Struthio camelus: one gene and its partners. The protein of the gene in region 1 interacts with the protein of each later gene in a biochemical or structural test. Links are inferred from orthologs where the notes say so. Each region holds a gene or a part of one and is shown in the gene's direction. Other genes may lie near its edges. The genes, in order: alpha-1-syntrophin-like; RPS6KA1; solute carrier family 2, facilitated glucose transporter member 3; DGKZ.

What was found.
Region 2: the proteins of alpha-1-syntrophin-like (region 1) and RPS6KA1 interact in a test that uses a peptide from one of them, tested with the Homo sapiens proteins (2 studies listed by BioGRID and IntAct, with this or other methods). The link is inferred for Struthio camelus from reciprocal best matches to the Homo sapiens genes SNTA1 and RPS6KA1.
Region 3: the proteins of alpha-1-syntrophin-like (region 1) and solute carrier family 2, facilitated glucose transporter member 3 interact in a test that uses a peptide from one of them, tested with the Homo sapiens proteins (2 studies listed by BioGRID and IntAct). The link is inferred for Struthio camelus from reciprocal best matches to the Homo sapiens genes SNTA1 and SLC2A3.
Region 4: the proteins of alpha-1-syntrophin-like (region 1) and DGKZ form a complex in vitro, tested with the Homo sapiens proteins (2 studies listed by BioGRID and IntAct, with this or other methods). The link is inferred for Struthio camelus from reciprocal best matches to the Homo sapiens genes SNTA1 and DGKZ.

The regions. Positions count from the first base shown.
Region 1 is NC_090959.1:4,021,942-4,029,597, forward strand, and holds the start of alpha-1-syntrophin-like, read left to right. Parts: upstream 1-4,653; 5' UTR 4,654-4,685; coding exon 4,686-4,959; intron 4,960-7,656. UniProt on the Homo sapiens protein: Adapter protein that binds to and probably organizes the subcellular localization of a variety of membrane proteins. May link various receptors to the actin cytoskeleton and the extracellular matrix via the dystrophin glycoprotein complex.
Region 2 is NC_090964.1:7,012,190-7,019,512, reverse strand, and holds the start of RPS6KA1 (ribosomal protein S6 kinase alpha-1), read left to right. Parts: upstream 1-4,318; 5' UTR 4,319-4,412; coding exon 4,413-4,475; intron 4,476-7,323. UniProt on the Homo sapiens protein: Serine/threonine-protein kinase that acts downstream of ERK (MAPK1/ERK2 and MAPK3/ERK1) signaling and mediates mitogenic and stress-induced activation of the transcription factors CREB1, ETV1/ER81 and NR4A1/NUR77, regulates translation through RPS6 and EIF4B phosphorylation, and mediates cellular proliferation, survival, and differentiation by modulating mTOR signaling and repressing pro-apoptotic function of BAD and DAPK1.
Region 3 is NC_090942.1:88,615,001-88,622,839, forward strand, and holds the start of solute carrier family 2, facilitated glucose transporter member 3, read left to right. Parts: upstream 1-4,825; 5' UTR 4,826-5,160; coding exon 5,161-5,175; intron 5,176-7,839. UniProt on the Homo sapiens protein: Facilitative glucose transporter. Can also mediate the uptake of various other monosaccharides across the cell membrane. Mediates the uptake of glucose, 2-deoxyglucose, galactose, mannose, xylose and fucose, and probably also dehydroascorbate.
Region 4 is NC_090946.1:40,031,713-40,039,452, reverse strand, and holds the start of DGKZ (diacylglycerol kinase zeta), read left to right. Parts: upstream 1-4,740; 5' UTR 4,741-4,864; coding exon 4,865-5,685; intron 5,686-6,675; coding exon 6,676-6,784; intron 6,785-7,534; coding exon 7,535-7,630; intron 7,631-7,740. UniProt on the Homo sapiens protein: Diacylglycerol kinase that converts diacylglycerol/DAG into phosphatidic acid/phosphatidate/PA and regulates the respective levels of these two bioactive lipids.

The DNA.
Region 1 (7,656 bases):
CTCTCTATGCCAAGAAATGAGTCTAATAATAGCTGCTTAACGATGAAATTCAGGGGACCAGAGATTATGCAGAGAAAATGCCAGGACAGGCTCAAACAGGGGATGGAAATCAGCTGTGAAAGTAGTATCAGAAGGTCTTAACAGGACTCTGAGAGGCTGCTGCTGGAAGGAGCTTCTCCGCAGCCCCAAATATGGCTTTAATTGAGCAGGAGGGACATGCAGCTCAGCAAAACCAGGCTTGCGAAAGGGCCAAGGAGCCCATTAGCTACCAGCAAGCAGAGCCTTTGGCTTTGTTACTGCAGGAGGGTAACATGATCACGCACACATGCATGTGTGGGCCAGGGGAAGGGGTCAGTAGATCATTGTAGGCAGTATGACGTGTGGATTTTCGGTGTGGCCCAGCTGTCCCACATGGGAATCCGGAGAGTCGGTTCAGAAATGCTGGAAACCAGTGTGCTATACAGGCACGCAGTCACGAGTGCTGGCTGAAAGGTGAAACACACATGCAGCCGTGCCAGCAGAGCAGCATCTTTGCATCCAGCCTGCAGCCGATGCTGACCTGCCTGGAAGCATGCGACTCACTCCTGTGTGCCAGGCAGCCCAGATTTGGCCCCCCCGGCCCCTGGCCCAGAGCCAAGGCATTAGTCAATCAAACTCGTGGCCGTTGGTCCTTCTTGCAGCAGGACATTGCGGCTAATTCTCTCAATGCCTCACAGTATATCAAAAAAAAGGTGCAGCCTGGGACCCTTCAGGGCACTGGGTGCATCTCCCATAGCTCACCACAGGCCTGGGACACAAAGGGGGTCCCTAAAAATGTGGGAGTCTCCTGCGTGAGAAAGGATGGGCTTCAGAGCATGCCTGGGGGAGCGGGCGTGCAGGAAGGTAGTCCCAAAAGTGTGAACACCCCGCAGAGCATCCCGGCATGTCCGTCTTCCCTGTACTGCAGCACCACTCACCTGACCCCAGCCACGCTGAGGAGACACCAAACGATTTGAGTCTTCGGAGATCAAAGCCTAGACCCCGAACGCTGTGTCCATCTACCTGCTGATCCCTCTTGATAGCCTGCTGACCTACCCAATGCCCAAGCTGGGCCTCCAGAGTTAGGACCCCCATGATGGGTCCTCCCATATCATTTCCTCAGGCCCCTTGAAGAACAGGGGGCCCCTGGTCGGGGAGACACAGTGTAAAAACGTTGAATCCTTGCAGAAAGCCCGGCCACGCAGCAATAGCTGGGCAGAAGGGAAGGGAGGACCCTCCTCCTCGCGCTCACCAATCTGTCACGTTTTCCTCCTGCGGCACCGTGTCTGCACATCTGCCCACTTCTAGGGCAGGTGAACCCAGGCTATATATAGTACTGACTGCTTGTGGTCATATGAAAAAATCCCAAGTCCTTTTTTGCAAAAAGCAAAAGCAAAGGGAGCTCCGGATCCAAGCTTCTGCCACAAATCGTGTAGGATCTACAAACAGCTTTAGGAGTGGCAGTTTTTATCTCCTTTGGGTCTCCAGTTCTGAGCTGCCCCTCAGGACATGCATTTAGGGCCCTTTTTGGTCCTGATTTGCATTAGAAGAAACCAGCATCTGAAATACTTAGATCACTGTCCCATCAATAAGTACCTGATATAATTGCCAAAGGAATACTAAATCGCTGAAAAAAGAGAGAGGGAGTCCTCTGATCATGTGTAGCAGAAGGTGTCCGTATGATCATCTTTCTACCATAATAGCAACGGCTTTAGGAGTCTCCTGAAGGAAAGATCCAGCCCTGAGTGCAGCTGGGCCAGCAGGTCCCCTGTCTGCAGCCACCGTGACGCTCGGTGGGCGATTTGTGGGTGTCATGAGTCCTTCTCCTCTGGCGATTTGTGGGTGTCATGAGTCCTTCTCCTCTGGCGCTGACGTCTGCACGTGCTCAGTGCTGACAAAGCTGTTCTGCATTCAGGCTGGAGAAAGATTTCCTGATAGGGGAGGGTATGGCACACGTTTCTGCAAACTCAAGGCTCCTGCAGCTGAGGGCAGGGCAGGAACCTGTGTAACTGAGAGGACTTTATTAAAATGTCATTACTGAAGGGGAAGTAAATGATCCTTTTATTCAGGCAAAACTGCTGCTGGGAGAGGAGTGGCACGGGGCTGGGGCTGCCTAAGTGCCTGCATGTTAGTCTGGCTGTGTCTGTTGGGGGGCAGTTGCTGTGTGGTAGGTGAAGTCCCACCTGGCCACAGACTTCATCCGTCCTAGCAGCAGGGATGGAGAAGGACAGTGATTTTCCCTCCATGTGGCACTGACAGGATCCAGATTGTCTCCTTGCATGGAGGACATGCTCAAGCGTCGCATCCGTGCTGCCAGGCAGACACAGAGCTGAGAAAGCAAAGAAAACGACCCCAATGTTGCAATTATGCAACACTAAGAGCAGTATTTACAGTTTCCTCCGTCGCTTCAAATGGGAACGATGGCCTTAAACAATCACCTATGCTGGAAATAACAAGAGCAGTGCTGGGAAGGAAAAAAAAAAAAATCAGACAAACTGCTGATTGCAGCTGACTGTCTGGCAAATAAAGTGAGTGCTTGGAGCACTGATGGCACAGGGAAAAAGAGCCTTGAGGACAAAAGGACAAAATTCCCCTCTGCTGTAAACAAATTGTGCTACATGGACAGCCAGAGCGGGGCTTGTGTGGCCGAACGGTACAACACAGAGGACGTGATCATAAGCAAATACCTTTGGGTGGGTGACACGGTCCCGTAAAAGCACCTCCTGACGCAAAGGGGAACCTTTACAGCTAGCAGAGCTGTTATGCAAAACGAAAAGTCACTTAAGCCAAACTCCGGACCTTTTATGAGAAAGAAAACTGGAATATTTGAAATGTTTGTTTTCTATGGAAATAACCTTCAGGGTTTCCTCTGCTGCAACCTCGAGAAATTCCACCACTTCTGCACAGGAGGGGAGCAGAGCGGAGGGAGCGGGTTTTCCCCGACGCTCGTGGCTGACCCACAGGATGGGCCGCAGCCCCAGCACCGAGAGGGCAAGGGCTGCGCTGAGCAACGCGCCCGCAGCCTCTCCCGCCTCACGCGCAGCTGGCGGCCAGGAGCAGCGCCCCTTAGTCCCCCACTACACCCACTTCCTCTGTACCCTCTCCAACCTCCTTAAAAGACCATTACATTATTTTAAGCCTCTGTATTTTGTAGCAAAGAGAGCTCAGGGAGCTAGGAAGCCCCAATGCTTGGAGACATCTGGAGCTGCACAAAGCATTAGGAGAAGGGAGTGCGGGGGGGGGGGGCGTGGACCAATAGGTGTTTTCTAATTGCTGCCACCAGGTTACAGAAAATGAAACAAAGTATCGTTCCTATTTTCAAGGACCAGGACAAGCAAGGAAAAAGGAACAGAGACTTCTTTGGATGTCCTAACACCTCTCGCCTCCACCTCTTGCCTGTTTGACACTGCGTAGGGGTTGTCAGAAGGTGCCAACCCCAGAGCACCTTGTTGCTCTTGTTACAGAAAGGAGATATGGGGCAACACGTCGCTCACAAGGGTGGATGCAGGCAGCTCCCCTGGCCCAGAGCAGCAATGCAGGGAAAGGCTTCAAGAGCAGGCCCCATTTTGGGGGATGTTGCTCCCCAGAATCACGCCCGGCTCTGATCTGCTGCCCGCCGCCTTCCCCTACCCGCCGCCCTGCGCAGCACTGTAATTTTGATGACACGAAGAAGAATCTGCCCATGCAAACTTTTCTGCCGGGCAAAACATAACTCAGGATAACAGAGTGTCACAAGCTTTTACTCAGAGACATCTCGGCAGTCGTGCTGTGCTCCGCCACCACACTGCTGAGGGATGCACAGACTTCAGGGCTGCAGAGCAGCGTTGTGATCATCTAGTCTGACACGCCACATTATCTAGGCCAAAAAGTGTCATCTAGTGCTTCCAGCATCAGTCCCAAATCTGCTGCTCAAGTTCAACAGAGCGAGAGAGCCAACGGGTGGTTCAGCAGCCCCCGAGAGCCCACCCCTGCTTGGGCCAGATTTTCAAGAGCGCTTTGCGCCTTGCATACAAACTTCCTTGAAAGTAGGTCTTTTGGTACCTGGGAACAAGCCAAAAGTGTTTTAGAAACCTTGCGCATGGTGTGCAAATTGCTGCACGAAGCAGGAGCCTCCAAGGCACCCTCGGCCTCGCCGGGTGGCCGGATCCTGCCACACGTGGGCACCCGTCACTGGGGGCTGCGATTCCCCGGGCGAGGAAGGGCTGAGCCAGCAGCTCCCTGAGCCTGGCTCCTGCCTTGTTTCCTGGGACGTAGAGCAGGATGGGGGCACGCAGCACATCCCGGGCCAGGCAAGGGCGGCGCGGGGGCCTGGCTCCCTCTGCGGCTCCTCGGGGCAGGGTGCAACAAGGGGGACGCCGGGCACGTCCGGGGCCAGGCAGGGAAGCACCCCAGGGGCGCACCGGGAGCGCGGGACTGACCCTCCGCGACGGGACGGGTCGGGGCGCCGCCGTGGCCCGAAGGAGGCGGATCCCGGTGCCGGGGAGGCGGCCGGGGGGCCGGGCTGCGCCGAGCCGAGCCGAGCCCGACGGGGCGGGCAGGGCGGGGCGGGCGGCCCAGGGGCAGGCCGGCGGGGCGGCGCTGTGCCCGGTGCCCCGAGCCGCGCCGAGCGGAGCCGTGCGGCCCGGCGGGGGCGGCGCAGCGGCGGCGGTCCGCGGCATGCGCGGAAGATGGCGGCGGGCAGGCGCGCCCCGCGCACCGGGCTGCTGGAGCTGCGCGGCCCCGGCGGGCAGTGGCTGCGCGTCCTGCTCACCCTGGCCGAGGACGTGCTGACCGTGAGCCCCGCCGCCGGCCCCGGCCCCGGCCCCGGCCCCGGCGAGGCGCCGCCGGCGCAGCTCAACGGCGGCGAGCCCAGCTCCGCCGTGCCCGAGGCGCTGGCCAACATCAGGCGCACGGTGCGCGTCGTCAAGCAGGACGTGGGGGGGCTCGGCATCAGCATCAAAGGTGAGGGCCGGGGGCCGGGGGCCGGGGCAGCGCCCGGCGCGGCGGGTCCTGGCTGCGGCCCCCGACGGCGGCGCGGGAGCCCGGGGCCGCGGCAGCGCCGCGGGGCTGCGCCGCCCTCCCGGGCTCTGCGGGGCGCCCGGCGCGGGGCCGCGGCAGCTGCGGGCGCGGGCGCGCGGCTTCCTGGCAGCCTGGGACGCCTGTGCTCCCCGGGCCGCGGCTGCTCCGCGGGTCTGACCTTCCAAGTCGGAAGCAGAGGTGATGCACCTCGTGGGGGAGCGGAGCGTTTTCAGCGAGGGCTGCGAGACGGGGATTTCGAGGGAAGCGACCTGTTGCCGTCCCCTTCTCAAGACTGGATTCTGCAGCTCGACTCCGCGTTTCCACTGAATGGAAACTATATCCAGGAGCCGAGCTCATCTCTCTGCACTGGGGAGGAACTGGGGTTCTCACGCCTCAGTCAGTCTCTTAACTTACCCCAAAAGGAGATGAGCAAGGGCAAGGTGGGAGGTGTGACAGCTGGAGTACGAAGGGCCTGAAGGATGTTTGCTGCATGCTCTAAGAGCTGGGTTTTAAAGGCAGACGGCTCCTGGAGAGCTCAGTGCACAGAGTGCCGGAGGGAGGCCGGGTGACAGACCAGCTTCTCAGGAGCCCCCAGCCAGGAGCAGGGCTCTGCTCTCCTGTGCTTGGGACACTGGAGGGTGGTGCTCACAGCCCTTTGTTGGTAAGCCAGGACTGGCAGAGCTTCTTCTCCCACTGCGACTTTGCACACGCTGGCACTTTCCTGGTAGGGAAGATGTCTGAAGAAGCAGATGGGACGCATAGGGTACCCATGTTACAGAAAAGCTGCCTCTTTGCATCAAACAGAGGTCTCTGCATGTTTGTCTTGGTTTCCTCAGTGACCCTATGTCTGTTGGGCTGACAAATGTCCCTTTTAAACTGTCGGCAGAATGAAGAAAATGATTGCAACCTTTGTAAGGTCCTTGGGGATCTGCAGACACAGAGTACTTCTTAAGAGCTGGGGCATTAAAACAACACTCTCAAGCTTGAAGATGTCCGGTCTCGGAGGGCTGAGCAGCAGGGAAGCCTTGTTGTTGTAATTCTTGTTTTCCTTTCTGGTGCTCCCCTCCCAAGTTTCTGTGCTCCTTGGTGATTTGCCTGAACTTTAGGCTGAAAACTTCATAGGGCAGGGATTGCATTTCTTTTTGTGTTTATTTTTCATGCAGCTCTGAGCTTGTTAGAAATTCAGTGAAAGAAGGATTAAATAGTCAACCACGGGCAAAGGTCCATCCCTGTGCATGGGTAAGAGTTTGTAATTTAATGTAACAGCAGGCCAGTTTGCATGCATGGTGGTCCATAGGCAGTGGTGGTATGAATCTTACCTTCTGACGTGGCTTCGCCTCTGGTGGCCAGAGAGAATTTAGCCTCAACCTCCTGCTTCCGCTTCAGCTGTACAAGTGCCCAATGTAGGGAGACTTTGCGATGTGGATGTCCGTCTGCTGGGATTGGATCGAAACACCAGCTTGCTTCTCTCATGCTGCTTGCTGTGCCTGCCACCATGGGATGCCTGAGATTGCCAGTGCTTCCTTTTGGGAAGTGTAAAATCCCCTTTGTGATAATCCTTTGGCTGCGAAGTTATCGCTACCTCTGTGACTCTCCTAGGAAAGGAGAAATGTTACTTGGTTCAGTTAAAACTTTATTTTTGCAGTGAAAAAATATGTGAAAAACAAGTGGCAGTAATCCAAAGTGGGAGCTATAAACCATTACAGCTGGTCACAGAGCTCTGAAGGTGACCACCGCTGTTGCAGAGGGAAGGCATTGGTCCTTCTTAACTGGGGTGGTGACACTTTCCCATTAAAAAGTAATAAATTTCTTGTAGTTTAACCTCAGAGTTTACCACAGAAGCGCGTACTGAGCAGAGTGTGAAAACAGCTTAGGTGTTACAGCTCTGCAGAGCAGGAGTGCTCAGATAGGCTGGCCCCAGGAGTCCTGGTCCCAGCCCTCAGGGCAGTTTGTGTTGTCTGAGGACTCTTTACTGCAAAATGCCTGAGTGCCCCAGGGCTGAGGCCACAGAATTGCCTCTTGCTTCTCTCCTTCCAGCCTCAACAGCCTTATATCGCTCTCGGTGGTGGCCCGAGGGTGGGATGGGGCCGGTGCTGTGCAGAGCGGCGTGCAGCCCTAGGGTTGGTGTTGGTGCTGACTCAGCCTGCTCTGGCTGACGCAGGCCTGGCTCCCGTTTCCCTCTTCCTGGGTGAGGGTGCGAGGCAGTAGGCTGTTATGCCAAAGAGACAACGTCTGCATAATACTGAAGAAATGCCTCCCCTTGGTTTCTGGTGCAAACAGCAGCTGTGCTTTGCGCTGTGAGTGGAGGCTTTTTGCAGTGGGCTGCTCTAGGGACGTGGCTGGAGCTCAGGGGCTGATACTGCACCTAGGAGGCCACAGGGACTGCGGTTAGGCCGAGGACGCCGGGGCGGCGGCAGGCTCCCTGGCCTGGCTGCACACATTGGTTGTGTCATGAGCTTGCTGAGACCTGGGCATGGCCCTGCTCCGTGTCCTGGCCCTGTGCAACCCAGGGAGCCTGCCTGGGGCAGCCCCATGCGAGCGGGCTGCCAGAGAGGGCAGGGTGCTCTGCTCTGCTCCTTGCCCTGGGCAGCATCCCCAGCCCTCAGCTATGCGCTGGCGCCAAGTGTGGGTCCCATTGAT
Region 2 (7,323 bases), on another chromosome or scaffold:
GCGCTGGCATCTGAAGCAGCTGCAATCGCGCACAGCGGTAAGGAATGGAAAGAAGTCACAAAAGGAAAAAGCAATCAGCCATTAAACACAGCCAAAGTTTCTCATTTACAGGGCCTCTGCTTTATATCTTAAATGTGACGTTTGCCCTGCGCTAAGGAAAAATGTCTCCCTGGGATCAAAACAAGGTGATCTATCATTCCTTCCTTCACGGTGAAAAAACAAAGCAGAAGATGCAAGGAAATGAGATCTTACATTGAGAGCTGGGGATTAGAAGACAGGACGTGGAGTTCAAGTTCTAGCCTGATGACCTAGTGAAAACGTGACTCGGTTTCTCTGTTAGTGGAATGGGAACAACAATGAACTAAGGAACTGATTAGTGGATCTTAAAAATACAAAGAAGGTTGCTATAAGCTCTAATTAAATGACTGTTGTAGTGTGTGCACAAAGCAGACTACACCAGTCTGTCTTTGTAAACTGTAGCAGGCATTTGGGACTCAGCTTGTGAATTCTCATGCGTGCAATCTTTTTGCATTTCCTTATATGTGTAAAAGCAGTGTAGCATGCAGTTAAAGGAAGATGCTCCCTGGCTTCAGTAAAAAGAAAAGAATGGATACAGTGAGCCATGGGAACACTGTGTTATATATGGTTAGGTGGAGAATCGCTTAGGCAGCTTTTAACGTAACGAGGAAACCTCTGCCTCTTCAAAACCTGATTGGATTTGGTAATGTGGATAAGGATGAGTCTCAATACTTCCGCTTTGGAAGTGGCTCTTTGGGGATAACTGGCTTAGTGAGTGCTGTCAACCTTCCTGAAGAGGAAAATGTTACACACCACAAGCCAGGCAACTGCAGAGGCAAAAATATCTACAATTGTATTTGAGGGGGATTTGATTTTTTTTTAAAATGAAAAAAAAAAAAACTTGCAGCATTTTGAATTTTCAGCAAATGTAATAATGGTGAAAGGGCCATCCAGCCGATCTGGAGATCTCCATTTACCTGTAGCAGCAGCGGTCTAAATGGAAACGTAGGAATCCTACTACGAACCTTAATCCAGCCTGCGGCCCTGTCAGAAGAACGGCAGTGTGTGTGTGTGTAAATATATATATATATATATATATATATATATATATATATATATATATATATAAATCACTGTTTTTAGCCATAACAGTTACCCAAACAACAGGCTTTGGCGTTCAACTCAAAAAAACATTTTTTTCTACCCAGCTTGTGGCAAAGGGGCTGCTTTGTATAGCTGTTCTTTGACTAGGAAATAAACGCTGGGGGGACACCACTGTCTCGTTCCACTTACCTAAACTTACTGCTCTGGGCTTACCACCGGTCTGGAGCGGGAAGTCTCATATTCTGTTAATCAACTGTGAGTCAGTGTTGTCTAGTGCAGGAATCAAAGGAAGGATGGTCAGCCTGGTGATAGATAGCACTAGATAGCACTGCTTCTCTTTGAGTCCTGCCCAGCATTGCTGCTGAATCGCTACGGTGTTAGCTAGTCTTGGGGGCTGGAGGTGGGGGGTGAGGGTGCTAGTTCAGTCTTGAGGATACTGTGGAGCTACCTTAGCAAAACCTTTTCCTAGCCTTTAATAAAAGTAGCTTCATAAATGGAGAGCATAGACACGCACAAGTCATTGTTAGTCTCCCTAGTATCTTTAATTTGCTGTTTTATTATGAAAACCAGGCAGGATAATTTGATACTTTTGTTTGGGTGCATGGCACCTGTGGGTGTAGAGCTCTCTGTTCGTTCCAGCCTAAAGAAATCATTGCTCCATAAAGTTCTATAATTTCTGTCTTTTGTCAAACGCACGGTGAGCTGGCCTGTCTTTCTGCTGTGAAATATGAAGGACTTTCTGCATCTCAATAGACCTACCAGGGGGGCGGAAGCAGCAGTGGATTCCTTTCTCCTTTCCCTCACTGAATCCAATAGGCCTTTTTCTGTGTTTCAGACCGTTCCTCCAGATATTGTCTGTCAACCTTTCACCGTGACCTTGAAAATTAAGCCTTGCTAACCAGTAGAAACTGGTTACTGTACCACTCTGTAACTAGCCAGGTAACTGCCAGTTTTCAACACTTCAAAAGGAATTTCTTTCCTTTTTTAACTTTTTTCCACTGTTTACAATAACAGTCATGGCCTTGAGGTCGGAGATTTCTCAGGAGTTAATGACCACCTTGGCTTAGGTTACCCCCTCAGCTGCTCCAGATCACTGTTTGGCACCTGATCTTACCTGACTCCTGTGCACAGCTCTTATTTGAAGCTGAGAGGTGCTCTGCATGGGTCAGCTGATGGGAAATGGCCTTTGTGCCTGTCATTTGTTATGATTTAAATATTCTGCTTTGTTTTTTCCATTCAGGTGGGAATGTCCAAGTGTGCTGGGATGTGATGTTCACAGGTCACCTTCAAGGGGCTTAGCACTGAAGCATGGCAGGGCACGTTAGCGTTTCATTTTGTTCTCCTTCTATAAAGCATGCAGAGTGTCATCCTTTGCTCATTTGTCTGTGCATTCCTATTCCAGACCCGTCTGACACACACACGCAGAGCAGAAGGAAATCCAAAAAGGGCGATGAATTTTGCAAACAAATGAAGAAGGTAAACGGGATGCCAGTATTGACATCATCACGTTACTGGTGCCATTTAAAGCAGGTTTCAGTCTGCACCAGCTGGAGGATGGATGTAACCAGACGGCGGCACGCCGTGCACCAGGCAAGAGGGGAAATGGACAGCTTTGGAGCTAAATGAATAACTCTGCACAAGATCTGCTTCAGCTTGCTCCCACAGTAAGTGACGTGAGTTTAATTGGCTGTAACAGGACCTTGCTAGTACCGTTCTGGTTGTGTTATTTAATGCCTTCATGTGGGAGTCCAAAACTTATGGCAGAGAGGGGCTCTGAGTGTACGGTTGGGAGAGAGCAGTTCCCAGACTTGGCTCAAACAGTTATACTGTGACCCATGGGAATTTTTTTTACTCAATTCCCCCCAACATGTGAAAAAGATGGCAGCACTAACATAACTCACAAGCAGGTTCTGAGGATGACTTACAAATTAACTTCAAGTGTTGTGAAGATCAGCTGGAACGTTTAGACGTACTTTGTTTTTCTCTGCCCTAATTCAGCTTTTTCTGAGTTCACTGCCCAGCCTGAAGAAGTTGCAGGTTTAAGGGCTGTACTGGCTTTTGGGGGTAGGTGCCCTACAGAATGCAAAACCAAAGCTGAGCGCGGTTTCACTTGGACTCATTAAGTGATACTTCCAGCTATGCCTTGATGAAGTCAATGCTTAGCGATGCACCCTTGAAAAAATAATTTCTGTTAGAAATAATTTTATAATGAACATGAAAACGCTGTGCTTTGGCTTTTGGCTTAAAAAAATGAGTAGAAGAGTACACTTCTCCATTTGAGAAGCCTAGCAAGTAAGAATAGCAATGAATTGTGAGCACGTGTGTTTAAGGCACCTTTCCTCCGCAGGCTTCTAAACATCTCAGAAAGGTGGATATGGTTTTTTTTAATCCATGTTTTGTTGGGAACGGGAAAAAGAGAGGGGGGGTGCGCTGCAAACAGTGATGAGCCGTGACTCACTGTGCATCACAAACTTAGAATCCGGATTTCCCGGGGTGGTTTCCTGCTTTAGGCAGCAGCCTGAATCGTCTGTCACAGAGTTTATCCTCACAACCCTCTTCTTCGGGGATGTTTTGTAGTACTGTGTGTACAGCAGAGCAGCAGACAACTCCTCCAGCTCTGGAGGAAAAAAATCTTTCCCAGGCACAAAAGAGAGTTGGGCACCCAGTGACTGACCCAGAGCTGGCTGCTCAGCTGCTTCTTGGTGCTGCTGAGGATTTCCTCAGCAGAGAGGAGCACCGAGTGACTGCCCCGCTCACCTTATGCGGAGCGAGCAGCAGCTTACCAGCAGTTTTAAGATCCGTTTGGCTAACGGGCGCATCCAAATTTTGTCAGGGCGCAAAGCGCACAGAGCCTGCAGCCGTTCACGAGAGCTAACGGGGAAGGTTTTTTCCCCTGACCGGCCTCGCCGCTCCCAAAGGTGGGCTCGGCCCTGGGGTGAATTCGCCACCGGCCGGCACGCACACCCGCTCGCTCGCTCGCTGCCGGAGGGGAGCAGCTCGCTTTGCCCGTGGCCACCTCGGCCTCCTCGCTCCCGAGGGGGGCCCTTTCCCCTGGCCGAGCCCGGCCGGGGGGCAGCGGAGGGGCCGCGCCGAGCCGAGCCGCGCTGCGGGCGGAGCCGCGCCGCCCCCCGCGGCCGCCCCGCTCCGCTCCGCCCCGGCCCGCTCCGCCCCGCCGCTGCCGGCCCGGCCCGGGCAGCCCGGGGAGCCGGTGCCCAGCGCGGGGCGCCGCGCTGCGCTGCGCCGAGCCCAGCCCGACCCGGCCCGGCGCCGCGGGGCAGCCCGCCGCCAGCATGCCGCTCGCCCAGCTGGCCGAGCCCTGGCCCAACATGGAGCTGGTGCATCTGGACACGGAGGTGAGCGGGGCACCGGCCCTCGCCGCGGGCGGCGCAGCCGAGCGGAGCGGGGGGGGACGACCCGGGCCGCCCCGCCGGGCTCCGCGGTGAACAAAGGAGCGCCCGGGCCGGTGCTGCCGGGGCCCCCCCCGGCCCCGCTCGGGAGCCGCGGGCGACCCCCCCCCCCTCCCCAACGCCCCATATCCCGGGGGGCGGGAAGCGGTGCGGGCCGGGCTCGGGCAGGCACGGTGATGGGCTGCGGAACGGGGGGGGGGGGCGGCGCGGCGCTCGGCAGCCCGCCGCTGCCCGTTCAGACGTGCTCCCAGACGTAGAGGGGCACGGGCCCTGCCCGGGGCCCGAGGAATAGATGCTTCATGTGCCGAGTCTTCCTCTTCAGGGCTCCCTCGCTGCTGTTCTTCCTAGACCAGCTGTCCTGAGAGGCCTGCCTGTGTTTCAAACTCCCAGGCACCCTGTCATGCTCCCCTGTTACTTTGGTGGATGCTTTGCTTTTTCCTTTCTAATTACGGCCTCGAACCCAGATGCACAGGACACATCAGCTGTCTGCCTCTGCAGGGTTGTGCCACGACCGTTTCGGAATAAAGGCACAGCTTTTAGGAGTTTTCACCCATTGCAAAGCAGCCAGCTGAGGCAGTGTGCTCCGGCAACCTTTAGTTAAGCATCTTCTAATCCAAATTAGAACTAGCCTCTTTCCTGAACAAATGATATGGCCGTTGTGGGTTTTGTCCCAACCCCTGTATTTGGACCCTCGCAGTCTCCCATCCTCTTGGCTGTATTCAGTGCTCTCGGTTTTGCTCCTTTACCTCATCTCATGCCTAGAGATGTTGTGATGGTTGAGTGGTTAGATTTGCTCATTCCTATTTAAAACTGCCTCTTAAAACATCTTTGCCTTCAGCGGAGGCAACGTTTCACTCCTGCTGCAATGATAACAGATAGAGGTCTGCTAACAAAAATGGGTGAGGTTGCCTAATTTTCATCAACCAGATGTGGCAAGACTTCTCCTAGAGACTTCCCCATGCCAGAGGCGCTGCATGTGCTGGGGGTTCACATCATCTGGCCTGAAGGTGCGGACGCACCCGGCAGCGGGCTCGGCGCGTCTGCTCGGAAGCAGTGCTGGAGTCATGAGGATGTGTTTGTGCTCGAAAGTGGGAGAGGAGGGAGGTTGCTCAGCCTGCAACGACTGGATCGTGATTCCTGGAAACCATGTCGTGCCTTCGGAGCTTGTCTAGGGTACCGGAGTAGGTTAGAGCTAGAACACAGGGCTCTTTAAGTTGGTGGTTTCTCTCTTCCTAAATAGGAAGATATCTTGAAAAGCTAAATAACAAAACTAAACTCATAACGGGAGAAAACTAATGCTAGTGCCCAGGGCAATAAATGCCATTGGCAAGATCGGTTTACTGCTTAATCCTACGTCTTTCAGGTGCCAGTCAGCTGGCTGTGTCAAAATCACGAGATCTCTTCTGACCGGAAACAGCTCGGGGGGAGCTCCCGTATATTTGTCAGCTGGAGTCAGCTGTGAAGATCATAGTTAGCAAGAACTATTTTCCCCACTGGAGTAGTAACCGATGTGTTAATTGTAAACTGAAACTTCGGGGCCTGACTCTCACTTCTCGGCTATCCCCTTCCCCCATCTCACCTTGCCTAGAGCTCTAGGTCAGCTCCACGGTCGGGAGCGGTTTGCATGTGATATTTCTGAAAATCACTTTCCTGAAACCTCAGGAGGGCTGCATCTCCACCTGGAGTGGGACGTTAGCAATTTATCCTCCCCTGGTTTGAGGAGAGCAAACACATGCTCTTGCTTCCAGTGAGAGAAACAGGATGGATGTTCTTCACCTCTAAACCTGGCTGCCGTCGCCTGTGCCAGACGTTAGCATGTTCCTTTAGCTGTAGCAGCGTATCTGCAGGCTGCAGAGAGGGACGTAGGCTCGGTGGGATTTCTGCACCTTGCGAGGTAAAAATGGCTGAGGGTAGAGGCCTGGGGAGAAGATTTTAACCTCTTCTGGGCAAGGTGGAGACTCTTCTGGAATGTCAGTTACGTAAATTGCCCTTGGATCTCTGCCATCATGGTTTTCAACCGGCTTCCTTGTACCTTTGCTTTCTGAGTCACAGAGCAGAGGTGCTGTCACTGTGCTGGTGAAGGCACCGGGCCTGTTGTCTGCAGGTTTGGGGTTTTTCCACTGCACTTCAGGAGCGCTAGCAATCTGTTCCTGGGGTCTGGTCCCAGCTGGCGCCTGTTGTCCCGGCCTGCCGGCGCTCAGCGTGGAGCTGCTCCGTGGAAAATGCGTGGGGGTGGGTGGCAGCGGGAGCTAGGACTAATCTGTTGCAGGAGAAAAGTGGATCCACCTCTGTCCTGGGGACTGAGCTGGTTTCATATTTTTTTCCCCTTATTCTCTCTCCTGCTTATATCATTCAGAATATTGCTTATGTAGTTGAAAAATCTGGCTGGGGCAGAGTACAAGCGATAGAGTGGAGTTGAATGACTTCATCACCATAGCGATGGAAACTGTCATCTAGGCTGTGCTTTTCTTTAAGCTCTTGTCTTGTAACACATACAGCAACATAACTGACGTGGGATTACCACAAACCTAATCACTTCGAGCTAATTATTTTTGCCGGTATATATGTATTCTCTTTTATTGAGCAGCAGCCATTCACGAGTAACTATCTTTTCCAAGCATCTTAGCTGAACGATGCATAAAACAATGATCAGAAGATACAGCAGGAAGCTATGTGAGTTTAGTCTCTGATATGCCTTGTGCGCAGCGCAGCTGACTCCTCAGTCCGTTTGGGCTATGGCAGTTCTGCTGGCAATCTTTATTTTTGCAGAATTATTTCCTTTCTCTAAATTGCA
Region 3 (7,839 bases), on another chromosome or scaffold:
TTCTGCCCCATTTCTGATGACTGACTGACAAGAGCTGGCACTGCAGAGCTGGAATGGCTGTTTAAGATAACTCTTCTCAGACCTGGTTTTAAACTTGTCTCCTGTGCCTGGGGAATCCTCAGTGGTGACACTGCAGCCCAGGAGCAGTGTGCTGTATTTTGGAGCACCCTTCACATCACCTCCTTTTTCATCCTGCCTGTAATAATACATGGGCTGCTCCCTGAGCTCTTTGCTGCTGAGCAGCAAGGGTGAGGTGGGAGAGGTGTATGTGGGGGGAGAGGGAAGCACTGCCTTGGGATAAGTCAGAGCATCTCCTGCTAGGAGAGGAATGATAAACCCCTGTGTGCCAGCTGGCTTAGCCGTTATTAGCCTACAGAGTCAGACTCCAATCCTACCCTCTGTGAATATTGCCAGTTCAACAGCAGCTAACTTTAGACTACAGCAGTGAGGGGAATGGGGCTGGGGAGAAGAGGTGGGTTGGCCAGGGTCTTGTTTTTTCTTGTGACTCTTGCTACTGTAATCACATTTGATCTTACTGAGACATTTTTCACAGTCTCTGCTCTCTCCTCCCTAGCCTGTAACCCTTCAGGCAATTGCTGAAGAAAGTAATGTGATTATTCAGGCTAGGTACCTGGGAGCAGAACAGAACATAGCTAGATGAGCAATCTCTGCAGAAATGGTATTTGTAAGTCTGCAGCTCTGCTTGTGCCCAGTTGTGCCTCTCAGCTCCTTTGTCAATATATGCGTGTCTAACGTGTATTTGCTGGGGAGTGTGTATGTGTAATGGGTGTATTTGATTCTGCACAGTGTGTGTGTATATACTGGCAGTGTGTGTAGCTTTCTGTTATTAATACTTGGGCGTGAGAAGTACACCTAAAAGGGAACATAAGATAAGGCACCTCACTTTCCTGAAATGCCTCCATCCCATCCCATGGGGCGCAGAGCATTCCCAGCACAGCCTGGATCCATGTGCCAGCAGACAGCACGCCCCTGCAACCTATCACACTGGCGCTGGATTGACTGGGCTAAGCATAAAATGCTGTGAGCCAGTGTATGCTTTCTGATCAGTATCTGTATGCCTGCAGTGTTGCAGCTGGGTAAGCAGCCAGAGAACATTGTCTAGCTGAATTTGTCAAACTTCCTATTATCCTTTTGTCTGGCTAGCTTCGTGCCCCGCACATACTAATGGGGAATTCTTTTTATGTCTTCCATGAAAAAAAAATATTTACCTCTTCATAAGAAATCACTTTTTTCCTGAATATAGTGTTTTCTCAAGAAATATAAAGTAAGGCCTAATTTTGTGAAGATTTGTCAAAAACAACCCCACCCCTTATGCCTATGCTGATCAGCCCTCCAGAACAGGATGAAAAGCAGAATGGGGCTCTGCCGAACTGCAGCCACACTGATTCCCTCTATCTGATACCTTCTGGTCCTTCTTCACCTCTTCATGAACTGACCTCCCAACCCAGACACTGTCCTGAATTGTGTGTATTTTCCTATTGCTATGCTCCTAATCAGGGCTGTGCTAGAAAATTCTTTTTTTAATTCTGCTCCTCAGAACAATTTGCTCTCTACTTATGCTGACATTTTTAATCCAAATTCATTAGCTAGGATGTTTTCTTCCTTTGCCCTTCGATTACAGTTTCTTGCTCAGGGTGGAGAAAACCACAGTGAGAAGCAATGGAGAAAACCACAGAGAGAAACAATGACGGATATATAAAAAAGACATTTTGACCGAAAGCCTCTCACTCCTGCCTTGCAACCTCCTGCTAGCTGAGGCCTGAGCTTCTGACACAGCTCTGCCAGTGCCTCCCACCTCCACTGTCCCTGTAATGTTCCAGTCCTGAGGACTGGGCTTTGGAGCAGTTTCAGACTTAATTCACCTGTTTTCTGTACATTTCAGAGAAAAGGAGGCAGAGACTGAGAGATATTATAAGAGGCAATGACTGCTCATGAAATACAGCACTCTCCATAAGTCATGAACACACAGTTCAGTGTGGCTATTCTTAGATGTGAACCAATCTTAGAATAAGAAATGATGAACAGACATCATAGGAAAAAAACAAAGGCACAGATATATAACTTCTCTCTTTGCTAGAAAGCCTGATTGCTCTGGCAACATCAATCAGAAAAAACTAGGCTTGTAGCCTAGGTGGTGGGCAGAAGTCCTCTTCCAATTTAGAGCAAAAGAAGAGGACAAGGCCTGAAGTGGTATAGAAGTTGTCACGTCTCTCTCGTAGCACAGAGCTGGGTTCAGGAAACAGCCTTCTCCGCATGTCATTTCTGTAGAAACGTTTTTTTTTTTTTTTTTTTTTTTGAAACGAAAGAGACTTACTTCTCATTTCCAAGACTGTCATATCAGTCTGGTAAAGCATTAAAATGCTTTGACCATAGTGATCTTACTAATTGACTAGGTTAATTAGGAAAGTTTTCAGAGACATTATCACCAACCTGCATTTCACTGTGGTAAAGGGCAGAGGTAAAAAAGACTTTAGTCTAATGACATGACCTGTCCAAGGCTGTGATTGTGCTCTCCTAGTTAGGCAATTCTGCAGTTTCTGTTCATCTTTTCTATCTATTCATCTGTTATCTCTTTTCCTCTCCTGGTTTGTTGCTGCTTTTTTCCTTCTGTTTTTTTCTTTTATTCCTTGTCCTTCTCTGTTTTAGTTCTTTCTTTCTTCTCCTCATTATACCTTTCCTTCCTTTTTGTCTTCTGCCTTTTGTCTCTCCTTGTTTCTCTTCTCACTTTTTTAACCTCCTGTTGTTTAAGAGTCAATCTCTCCACACCCACTCTCTTGTTTCTCTCTTATCTTTCATGCTTTTTCCCACTCTTTCTCGGCACATCTCAACAATGAAAGTTACTAATGGCTTGGGGGAGAAGCATCTGGCCCATGCTGGCTCTCATTCTCTCTCTTTTGTTCTGAATACTCTTTTGTTATAAACACAACAACACAAAAGCACAAAATCATCTCTAAATGCAAACACTGCATAATAATCCGCCTTGTCCATGCCCCTCTTATCTCTGAAGAATTTGTTCTTCAGGCAAAATAGAAAGAAACATGAGAGAGGATTCACTAATATTCGTGGGAATTAGTATGCAGAAGGAAGAGATCTGGTGAGTAACTTGGAGGGGAAAGAGAGATTGGAAAGAGCTTCATTCTACAGGGCAGCACCACTGAACTGAAAATTGGGCAGACCTGACAGAACAGCTGTGTGATAGAATATAGCTTGCAAGGAGCTTGGACACCAGCATGATGACACTGTGGTTGATAATAGATAATAGATCTGTCTCTGTTCCCATTAAGCTATGGAGGCATGGACAGGATCAAAAATGATTTTGAATACATAATTTCTGTGTCTTTCCCACATTTCTCAGGGAGATTTGGTTTCTAGTGATGTACTTTGAGCTCGTGTCTCCTTCTTACTGCTATTTATTTCGCCAACTCTCTAAAGGTAAAGAAATCTCATCTACTATGTTTTGTGTCATGTGTCAGGTATTTAATTTTCAGCTACACTCTTACTGCTTCTAAAGTTGGACGTGAAGCTAAATATACGTTTAATCTAATCTTGAAGTTTGGATTTCCCAGCACCAGCTGAGTCATGTGGGTCAAGAAAAAAACTAGGAATGAGGAGATCTCAGAGGGATGTTTCTTGCAGTCCAGAGGTTGCCTCTGAGATTTGGAGATGCTTAGAAACTCACCAAATATGGAAGCTGTTTACTTTAACCAGTAATTGAATATTTCCAGAGCTAATACCAGGGTGAGAGATGGCTCACCAGATTCAAGGTGAAAGTTTGCTGTGCTTGCACATAAGTGGAAGAAAGGCTAGGAAAATAAAAAATAAATGTGAAAAAATAGTCAAGTGAAGAAGAATGCGCAGACTTCCTTGTCCTTTTAATGAGCTGATTTTCTGTTTGGAATAGCATGCATATTTTAACTGCAACACATAAAAGACACATTAAGGGAGTGAGGAAAACCTCACCGCGTTTGAACTGTAAATTTCCTGTTATGTATCTGATCTGTGATCCGGTGACCACCGTGCCAAAGAAGTAACAGAAGTGGAATTAAAATGGGATCATTCCAGTTCCTCAGAATTTGATAAAGAAAAGTGACGGAAAATCCCAAAATAATTTCTCTAGAAATAAGAAGATGGCATATGAGCTAACTTTCTCCCCTGCTTCCTTTCCTTCCCCGCTGCCTGCAGCTCTGAGTTACTACCATTTTCTGAAATGAAAATATTTGGAAGGTTCTGAATTTTTTTTTTTTACAGTGTTTTTGTCTGGAATTGAAAGCATAGATCTCCATTACTCTCTTAGGAGAGTTTGGCAATTCTTCCAGTTAAGGGATGGGCTGCAAGGGAATATGAAGGAGCGTAGCATAGTTCAGCTGAAGGAGTTCAAATTTGGGACCAAATGCAGCTCTGTGTCACGTCTCAAGCTTTGCCCCCACAAATTCTAGCTTTGTCGGAAAAGCTGTTCAAAAGACAGCTATCCAGATGTATGTCTCATCCACAGCTTTGGGAGATGGGTAGAGCATCCATAAAGTATGGCAATGATTTCCGTGCTTCTGCCCATGTGATTTGTGTGCCTGTCTTTTTGACTGTCACTGTCTGCCTCACTGTTTTAACTAGGGATTTAAAACAACTTTATTTCATACAAATCACTAGTGTTCTATCATTAGTTAATATTTGCATAGCATCAACAGCGTGGCAAATACTGCTCTCTACGCTTGTAACTTTTTCCAAAATGCTGGAGTTAAATAACACAGCTGCTAGCTCCCTACTCAGTGACTTTTTCTAGTTTTCTAGTCATGAAACATAAGAAACCAGACACATGCTGCTGAAATACTGCCACCTGCAAAAACCAATCCAAACTAATGTAAAATTTAAGTCAGAAAAGCGTATTAGGTTAAAGGATTTTTTTTTTTTCTTCGTTGCTGGGAGCTCCTCCCTCCAAGTCTCCTCTCACGCCCACACCCAAAAAAGAAACCATAAATACATGAGCTTAAGCAGAAAGAAGGTGCTTTTGTACAGAGAGAGACTCAGCTGTTTTGTTTTGTGGGAGGCGAGGACGCAGCATCTCAGAAGGTTCACGGACTCTGTTAAGAGGTGGGAATAGGGCAGTGGGCCTCAAGAGTCATTTTAAGGCGTTTGTCGCAGGCGATGGATAATAAAAAGGTAACCACTACCGATCTCTTTCTGCTTGCCATTAGGGCGTTTAGCTGTCTTGTTGCTTCACTGATTATTCACTGTGAGGTTGTGTCTGTTTGTCTAGCATCTGTCTGCTACCGTTCCTTTCCGCAGATACTTATGTGTATGGCTGGAAAGGATTTGCCAGGCTTGCGGAAACAATCTAGTAACATTCATGAAGCAAGGATCACCTTATGAATTGTGTGGTTGCGATTCAGCATCATTTCGTTCTCCGATACTGTTGAATTTCTGTTTGTCTTTGTAAAGATGGAAGTTCTGATGATGCAGACGGGCCTCAGCTGCTATCTTTTTAAGAATGACTTAGATAAGTGCTGTCTGTGGGAGATGGGGAGTAGGGATGGAGAGCCTGTTTGGTTAGGGTTGTTGCAAGCCATGAGATTGATTTGTTTTCATGTATATGGCCTAATTAGCCACATGATGCTATAAATATTTCCATATTTTCTTTATACTGATAATAAGATATATTTTGCTGGCTAGACAGTACTCATTTGTGCCAGGATTAAAGACAGAGGCTTCATAATGCTGAAAAGGAAATTTCTCCTAAAGTTTACATATATATATATGAGACTTATTGGAAAACAATGTTTCAATTTCGAGAAGAAAAGCAAAGCATATTCTTTCCCCCTTGTTCCTTGAGAGAACATGGGACAGACAGCCTTGTGGGTATCGTAGTTCATCTGCAGCCTAGAGCGAAGTGTGCACTCGCGGAGTGGAACTCAGTGGAGCTAATGAACTGCCTGTGTTTGAATGCATCGGGGCAGAAAAGCAGGCAGGCTGAAGGAGGGAGACAGACAGCAAATATCCAGCTGAACCCGGTGCCCAGTGCTGAATGCCAGGGAATTACTGTTAAAACGGAAAAAACAACAGCAGCAGGGAAGCTCTGGGCCCTCACTGCCATATTGATGGGAAATGTGGACGGGGTGATAAGATGAGTCAGAACAAGTGAGAGAGCATCTGGTCAAGGGCATTTAAAGGAGGGCAGAGAGGGAGCTATAGCTGAATTCAGCAAGTTATACTGTTCTGAGATTCTAGTCAGTAAAAAAGAAGGGAGCTAGTTTGAAGTATCTCTCCTGGATAATAAATATAGCTGCTAGATCCTTATGGATGCCTGTGGTCAGAGGAAAGGGTGGTGGTTTGAATTTCCTGCCAATATATAGACCTCAACTTTGAACTTTTGGATAGGGTGGATGCTGCTTTACTATTTCTGAGCTCCCTGGACACCTTTTGGAAAATGAGGTATGGCCAACAGTAACAAATGATCCATACATTAGATCATGGCCTGTCTCACGGAAGTGGATGGGTCAGGTCATGTGATGTCTAGGCAGTATGAGACTGGGTATGTGATACAGATGAATAACAGGCAACAGTCTGGAAAAGGGATCATGAAAGAGGGTAAAAGAACTAGCCTCCTTATAGTTTGGTTGTGCCTTATAGTTTGTATGTGCCTTTTGGTCCCATATAACACCCAGAGGAAAAGGAGGCCAGCTGTGACCACTGCAAGCCATGACAAAGCAGAGTTCTGAGGGGAAGATGCTCCTGTGTTGAGGCACTGTGTTGGAAGTGTGGAGAGCAGAGTTTTGTCCTCTACTTTGCTACACCCACTGACTAGGGGTGACTTGACCTAGACCTCTAAAAGTACCTAGATGTCTTAATGCCCTTTTGTGGGCTTCCAAATGCTTTGAAAGAGCTGGATCCTTGTGTTTCTGTGCCAAAATTCCTTGTAGCTAATACGAGGGGAGCAGTCACCCCCCTCCGCACAGAGTGGCAGAGAAGAAGGCCTAGACCACCTGGGATGTATTCAGGTGTTAACCGTACCATGGAAATCATCTGCCCCATGCAGGAATCTAGGACCTTGTCACTTCTGCCTCCTTTGCTAACCTAGAAGGACAGCCTGACACTTCTACTACATGACGTAGCAGGGGAAAGTTGCATCTGAGATAATCTTTTGGTTTCTGCTTACTGGGGTCTAATTGCTAAATGTGTGACGGTTGCGCAGGTCAGAAGGGCCCATGCACCATGCTTGAAAGATTGGTGAAGGTGGTGTGAGCAATGGCAAAGAGTTACTGGCAAAAAGGCACCAAACTTTGGGCAGCCTTTGGACCCTATTCTCCTGGAGACAAGCAGAAAAGCGGTAGACTAGAGGAACTTCAGCAGCAGGCCCCATGAAGTACTTTTCTCTTCTCTGCCAGCATTAAGAGAGTAAATGGGAAGCCTTGAAAAATGGACTTCTAATGTTTTGGAAAAGCTTCCAGTCCTTCCTATGAGAGAAACATGATCTTTCTAAAAATTGCCAACCCAAACACTGGCCATCCAAGTGCCAACTGCTGAGTCGCCTGCTTCCCCTGCCTTCCTAACACAGAGTTGGCTTAAATTCCACAGACTTTAAAAATACAGAAAATGTCAGATGCTTTTCACTGACACTTAAATTTCTTAGGTTGGACCTTAAAGCTTCCTCTGTGTCTCTTTTATTTCTTTTTTATTTTAATAAATACAAAGATTCACACACACTCAATTCCAGGTGCTGGGACTTTATCAAGTAATATCAAGTATTGCCACAGTGGCAAGAAAAATAAATGGGGAAAGTTGGCAGCACAGTCTTCTGTTTGAGGCAGGGTTCCTGTGCCAGGTGCC
Region 4 (7,740 bases), on another chromosome or scaffold:
CAAGGAAGTAGTAGCTGTACTCAGTAACAGGTTATTCTCAGACCTTTTTGCCCTTGTTCTCGTGAAGTTGCCCCCTCAGGCAGCTTCTGTCCCTGTTTTATTTGCCTGATGTAGGACAGATTACAACTTAGATGTAAATTTTAGGTAGAAACAAACTGCACAGAGTTTGGGAACTTGCTGATAATTGCTCAGCTCAGCTCAGCTCACCTCAACCAAAGCCCCAAGGGCTATAGCATGTCTTGACCCAGATGCTCTCTTCACCATCTGTGACAGGGACTAGTGGCTGATGCTTCTGAGAAAGGGACACCTTTCCTGGCAAACCTAATCCATGTGAGTTGCTCTTCCTTGTGTATTGGAGAGGGCTGACTGGGGAGCAGGGTTCAGTAGCTGATGCCTGGGAGCCGGAAGGGAGAGCTGGGACAGGATTCCAGCAGAGGTGGTATGGGGACAGCAGCATACATGGAAAGACTTGAGTATCAGAGCACTGAGAGCGGTAGTGCAAGCTTGTGGTGGAAACACTAACTGACGGCAACCTGTGGTATCTGAATGGAAGTGATGGGGCTGGAAAGGCAGCCTGGGATCTCTGTTGCTTCTGGGTCCTCTCAGGAAGAGACCAGTTCACTGGAGGGGGGGTGAAGGGATAATAATGAAGGGGAAGGACTGAACAGACATGTGGCACAGCATCCATGTACACAGATAAGAAGGTCACAGAGGGCTTGTTCAGTACAGTACACCGGGGTTTGCTTGAGGCTATTGGAGCAAAGCAGAATTACAGGAGCTGCATACCAAGAAGCTCTCCCTACCACGGGCAAAGCCTGTGCCTGAGGGACGAAAGTTCATGTTCTGGCCTTGGAATCAGCTTTTCTGGTTTTGGAACTACCACCGCCATGGAAGGGATGTGTGCTGGATATTTGGGTGGCTCTCTGGAGAGCAGGGTCCCCTTATCAGCTGATCTACCAGCTCTGCATCTACTGAAGTTATGAGAGGCAAGGTTTTTTTCTTAGATCCCTGTTTGACTTTCCAGGGCATTTAGATCCTTCCACTGAGATTAGCTCTATCCTGAGAGTAACAGCTTGCAGCCTTCTCTGAGCACCCAGACAGCTTCCTGCAGCCCCTCCTCAGCTCTCAGGGGCAGCGCCACTGACTGTCCATGGTCAGGGGTGTGTTCCTGCTTCAGCGGTATCTCTGCTCACTGATGCTAGGCTGGGAGCACAGGCAGGAGGTTGAGGCTGAGGAGCACTGAGGGGTCAGGTTAGAAAAAAAAAACTCCCAAAAGCTCCACTTGCACACCAAAGCTGCCGACTCCTTCCTCATTCACAGAAGCAGATTGTAATGATAATGTAAAGCTGCCTGTAAGTAGAGTTGATATGCTAGTGTGTGCAGCATTATTTCCTTTCCTTTCCTTTCCTTCCCACCCTGCTAATGTTAGACTGCCTCCATCCAGCCTCCTTACCTAACTCAACTGAGCGATGCAGTCTGCAGAACAGTAACAAGCACTGCTTCTCATCCATCTTCACAGCTGAAAATAGTCTTTTAAGAGAAATCTGCAGATTCCAGAAACGTGCAAGTGTTGGGCCAGAAGCTTTCAAGAGTTAGCTCTGGTCAGGCTCCTTTCCCCGCAGTGCACGGTTCCCCTGCTCACGGCTCTGCCAGTGCACATCAGCCCTAGGCAGTCCGTGCCTCGTTGCCTTCAGGCGCCGTGCTCTGCCAGCAGCAGCTCTTAACACCCACGGTATAGCATTTGGCAGCTCAGGTTGCAAGTAAGATGCAAGAGATAGGATGGTGAAGAACTTCCCCATCTGAGTTGCTGCATGGTGCCATTATGGGCTGTCAAATGATTTCCCGATAATACCCTTCACCACTGGTGACTGGAACAAGAGAGTGTGCGCCACTCTCTGACAACCTTGAAGATTAAAAAAAAAAAAAAAAAAAAAACTCTAATCAACTAGTAACCAAAATATAAATGTCAAGCAAAGGTTGTTGAGGCAAATTTCCTCACGAGACCGTGGTGCAAAAAGGAAGGAAGCCGTGTTGAAAGATCTTTCTGCCCATAGCAGCAGCTTGGCCAGCAGCACATCAGCCTGAATGTTGGTGGAATATCTGGGGCAGAAGAGGGCACCAATTCAACTCATTCGGGATGTAGCCTGGCAGTACATCTACCCTAGCAAGTAAACATGATCAAAGAGAGCTTGTTGCGGTTTGCCACTCCCAGGCAGTGTCCTCTGTTGTTTGTTAACCCGTTCCATTTGTTCAGACAATTTTTAAGACTATTGTTGATAATCCAGTTTACTGAGGTATCCTATAAATTGTGGGGAGAAAGGACAAGACTAGCATATTGCAGGGTCAAGGATGGGCTAGAAGCAGAGTGATCAGCGGAACTTGCTTATGCCATCTGCGAAGCTGCGCAGGCCTCGGCGGTACGATGGTTAAATGTGCTAGTGATCAGTTAGCGCTTGACGTATCTGCATCGCTCACTGTGGTGGAACTTGAGAAATTCCTCTGAGGAGATGGCACTCTGGTTTTGCTTTCAATTCAGCAAGACTTTAGCTCCCCCAGTGCTGCTGTCCGAGCTGCAGATTCCTCTGTAGAGTATTGCTGTACTTTCTCCCCTCCCTAGGCTGCATTGCTGAATACAACAGTAGCACAGGGAATAGCAGTGAGACTACAGAAACTACAGAGCTAACTTCCTTGCCTACCAGGCTGGAGGGGAATGAACCATGTCTTGTCCTCTCCAAAATGCAAACTTGGCTTTATAGTCTTCTCTAAAAGAAGCAGAGGTACAGCCCAGTGGGTTGCTTGCATACAAGCACTAAACAAAACTGCCTGTTTATGGTCCAGAAAATAGCACCCGTGTGCTATCTTAATGCGTCTCCCAAGCAAAAAGGGAAGCATCTGTCTGACAAATCTGCCTGTTCCCATGGCCCTCAGGGCTGTTGAGGTTTAGGCCAGGCTGTTCTGAAGGTCTTTAGTACTGCTGACCAGCAAGTGACCGCATAAGAAAGCATGAGAAGAAAGGAAGACAGAAGTGAGCGCAGCTAATCTTAGTGCAGTGGTGAGTGACGTGCCTGTACGCTCACGATGGGTAGAGGAGCAGCCTTTTACAGCACGGAGAAGTTGCTGGGAGTGACAACGGTGGCTTGCGTGTGCCTGCAGGCTGCCCTAATTTGGAGGCCCCTGGCTCTGTAGCATTTGAGGCGCCAGAAAGATTCTACCAAGCTGTGAGTGTCAGTGTTTCTTGAGTTGTCCTCAGATAAACCCTCTCTGTTTAGAGGTTGAAGACAAGCAGTGGCTGGGGGGTCAGAGGAGAAGCACTTTGCTTAGAGCAGAGGAGCACTGGAATTAGTCAGCTTCGGTCTCTTCCTTTTAAACCTTTGCATGCTAAGCTGAGAGTGCTTAAACCAGTGTTGTAGCAACTTCCATCTGTGGCCCAGCGCTTTTCACGAACAGCTGTAATGTCCTGGCAACGAGTTAGGCTTTGAGAGCTGGGCAATGAAAGCTCGAGAGTCATGTTAAAGCTCTTCCCACCGAGAGAGGGGAGTTCTGAGCAGGACGGACAGGACGATTTTCCTAGGCCACCTCCACTCCAGCTCCCTCTGCCAGCCTCTACCAAATCTGCCTGCCCCTCTTTTACTGGCCTTGCTTTTATTGCAAATTCGTAAGTCCTTTGTTTTCATTTGCATCAAATTCTGTGCGGTTGGTGCTTACACAGAGCGGTTACCACTGGAAAAACAGGAGGGCCAGCACCAGGGGATGAATGCGTGTGACTGGGGGTCGTGAGCAAGGGCTGATCTTTTCAAGCAGTACAGAGGCTCTTCTCCACAGGGTCGTCTAGAGGGGAGCTCAGCCTCTGCAGACATCCGAGTAGTCCAGTGGGTATTTCTGAGCACCTTCTCCAGGGTAAGCCTGGCTGTCCTCACCGAAGGCATCGAGTGCCACGTGCCCTTGTTCCATCCAGCTCAGCACATGAGATTGTAGGAAAGGCTTTGTTCCTTTTAAAGGGAGTCTCTTCTTAGCTGCTCCAAGTCAAGAAATTATCCCTTTAACACCTCCAGCCTCCTAAATTCACTGTTTTTTTTTTTTCTTCCCACCCAAAGCCCTCTGCAGAGAAGTAGCTGCAGGAACCAGCTATCATCCTAGTGCTGACAGGAGGCTACATTTGAATGCTGAGCTTTTTCTGTGCCTTACAGTGCTGGGGACTAGGAAATCTGAAGAGGACTGGACAGATTGCTGAGAGATTGGAAATGGAAGCTGTGCAGTGCAAAAGAGGAGTTAGGACTACGTTGATCCTGCAGTGATGAGCAGGGGATCTAGAGGGAACTAGGAACAGCACGTGATGCCTGCCCTGCCATCACAGCACCCTCCACTAAGCTGTGAAAATAAACCTAGAAACTGCCTTAATAAGAGGGAGAGCTTTATTTGGCTCTGAACTCAAGAGGAGAGGGTGCCTTGTGGCCCAGCTGCTCCTGCAGTGCCGTTAAGCAGTGAATAATGTGTGTTGTATACCAGAGGCCGGTCCCAGTCTTGTTGCTCGCTCTAGGTGGAGGCATCCCAGCATCCAGTTGTTTGCTCGTTGCTACCCCCTGAGCCACCAGACAAGGCCTTCACGCCTCTCCCCATCCTCCTTTTCTGCCTGTGTAGAGAGGGCTGAGGCAGGGAGAGGCAGAGCTCGGCAGCAACCACGTAGGTCTGGCAACTGGGTTTCCTGCTGTTTCACCTTCCTCCTGCCCTCTCTTCTGCTGCACCCTGTGAGCTCGGGGCCGTCCCCTGGCCCGTCACTGCTTTGGTCTTTGCAGCCTAGCCAGGAGGCTCTTTAATTGCTGGTTTCTATGTTAACAGCCACCCTTCAGGTGCCACCCTCTGTGCTATGGAAACCTTTTTTAAGAGGCACTTCCAGAGGAAGGGGCCCTCGGGGTCGCGGCGAGCCAGCGCGGTGGCAGTGCCCACAGGTAAAGCCAGGCGCCGCTCCCAAGTGGGCCTGCCCTCAGCCTCGCTGGTCCAGCGCCGGTGCAGGTCCGGCGCGCCGCTGCCGGCCCTCTCCTGCCTGGGCCGGCCCCAGCAGGCCAGCCCCGGCTCCCGGCGCCGCTCCAGCACCACACCGCCATGCCTCAGCCCCCGCTTCGCCGTGCAGAAGAAGCGCGGGGGTCAGGTGCGATCCATCGATACCCACTTGATGGGCCCTTCCATGCTCCTGGCCAGCCTTATCCAAATGAGAGAGGAGGGGAAAGGGGTGCCCTGTGCCGACAGCTCCGGATCCGAGTCGCTGGAGGACGGTGGTGGCAGGGAGGAGAGCGTGGCCGCCAGGGGAGCGGAGCCAGGCAGGCGCAGGTGGTGGGCTGAGGAGACCTGGCTCTCCATGCTCCCCGTGCTGCGGCCCCTCCACGCCAGGCCGCTGCTGAGGGGCCCCCGGTGCCTGCGTCGCAGATCCTCCCATCTCCTGCCCACCGAGTTCGTGTACGGCAGGGCTGCCTACGGCCTGCAAGGGCGCTACCGCCGCCTCAGCCAGCACCGGCGTTCGAGTGACGCCGTGGGGCCCGGGGCGCTGATCTCCCCGGGCCGAGCGCGGCTGCTGCCCAGGAGGTGGATGGCTGCAGCCGGAGCCAGGCGCCCTCCCGCTGCCCCCTCCGAGTGCCTGGGATCGGAGCCCGTCTGCCCTGCCGCCCCCGACTCCTGGAGCCCCAGGCTGCTGTATGTATGGCGGCGTGTGACGTTAGCGAGGCAGTATCTGAGAGAGGGGAGGTGGATGTGGGGCTCCAGGCTTGCCAGGCCGGGGATGGGGAAGGAAGGAAGGGGCAGGGGCTTGGCTTGGGTCTGAGGCCTTTTGTGCCACGTGGCCAGGGTCGGAGAAGGCTGTGCCAGGCCTCACCGCTGTCAATGTCTTTGCAGTGCTGTTTGTGTCTGTAGAGGAGAGCAAGGAGCCAGTCTCCTCCTTAGGTCACTGAGGGCTGAGGTAGTTTTCTGTTTGTCTGATGCTCTCACCGCAGCCCCTTGGGGCTTGCCACACGTCCCCTTCCAGCCGGTACAAAGTACCTCTGTATTCCTTGCCTTCTCCCAGCCCAGGTGTGAAAAAAGAGGCCAAGGCTCTTTTAGGGCTAGAGGTGGGTATTGTCTAATTTCTCCAGTTGACTAGACCTGTTGGTCCTTTCCTCCACCCTAACCTACCCGAAGGAAGCTCACCAGCTCCCTAGTCCCAAACAAGCTACTTTGCTTTAGCCGGTTGTGCCGGACTCTGAAAATGCCTCAGGCTCTGAGGTGCCTTTATATGTGGGAAGCTATGGGGAGCTGCACTGGGGCAGGGGCTCAAGGCTGCCCTTGCACAGGCAGCCCCACCTCTACAGCCTGGTGGAGACTGCTGGTGGGGTATCCTGGGCTGTCATGCAGTGGGCCTGTCATCCCTGAGAGTTTTGACCCAGCAGGTCTAGCCTGTCTTTTGCCGGATGTAGGATGTCTTTTGGTGAGTGTCAGCAATGTGGCCAGCACCTCTGCACCCTACAGGGACTGACTTGCCGGAGAGGTGATGTTCCTCAGGCAGTGGTCCTGGGGGATTCGCTGCACTTCCAGCTGCTTGGTTCTGAGGATGGTTTTCTTCTCCAGTATCACTGTCTATCCCAGAGGCAGGCTGTTCTTTGCGCACATTCCTCCTCTCCTGATCTAATAGGCAGCCCTCGTGTCTTCCAGAAAAGCTATTGCCAAATCCAGCCTCCAGCACATGGTAGCCCAGCCAAACCCTGCGCTAGCCCTGAGGAGCGATTCAGAGAGGCAGATACGCAGCACTGTGGACTGGAGCGTAAGTTGCTTTGCATTTTGCTGGGCATGAGGTAGGATGGGCTTTGAGACAAGAAGCAGCAGGCTCTTCCCAGGCCAGGGCTTCCCAGGTGACTTTGGCTTTGACACATTTGTGGCCTCCGCTGGTGCCAGCATCTGTGCTGCTGGCAGCACCCCTTGATGCTGCGAAGAGAGGCTATGCGGGCACAGGCAGTTCCCTGGGAGGTTGCACAGCTACTTAACTTCCAGTTCTTCTGCTCTTGGCAGTGGAAGTCTTCTGGCAAATGGAGTCCCTGGGACACAGGGCTCTCCTTGGCATATGGGTGCCAGCCTCCGCCCCAACCCTCCTCCTGCAAAGGCAAAGGAAGGGTGCAGGTCAAAACCTGCCTGAAGTCAAGGAACAGAGGCTGTTTCAGGAGAGACCCCAGCATTGAATTTGCCGAGGTGCCTCTTCTCAGGGGGAATAGAGGCAGCCCCACTGAATGGGACACAGCTAGGCTGTAGGTTTTTCCATAGGATCTGAGAGAGAGGAGAGTTGGTTTCCTGGGGGCCTCTCATTTCCAACAGGGTGGGCTGTGGCAGCAGCTTTGTAAGGTTTCCTCTCTGCAGGTGTTTGCCCTGGTGATTCTGTGCATCTTGTCTCCCTGCCTACATCTAGCCCCCCCAACCCCCACATCAAGTTGTCTTGTCCCTAGCACAAAGCATTTTAGGAGATCAGATGATCACTTATGGGTGCTCTCAGAGAAACACAGCATTGTCTTGTGCCTTTCAGGAGACTGCAGTCTATGGGGAGCACATCTGGTTTGAGACCAATGCCTCTGGGGATTTCTGCTATGTTGGGGAGCAAAACTGTATGGCAAAGCTGCTGGTAAGTCACCTGGGGTCACGCGAGTCCCCTGGCAGGATCCACGGATGCGGGCTGTGCTGCCACCTGGCGGAGAGACTGCAAAAGCACTGCTACTGCCTGGTGCTGGGGAA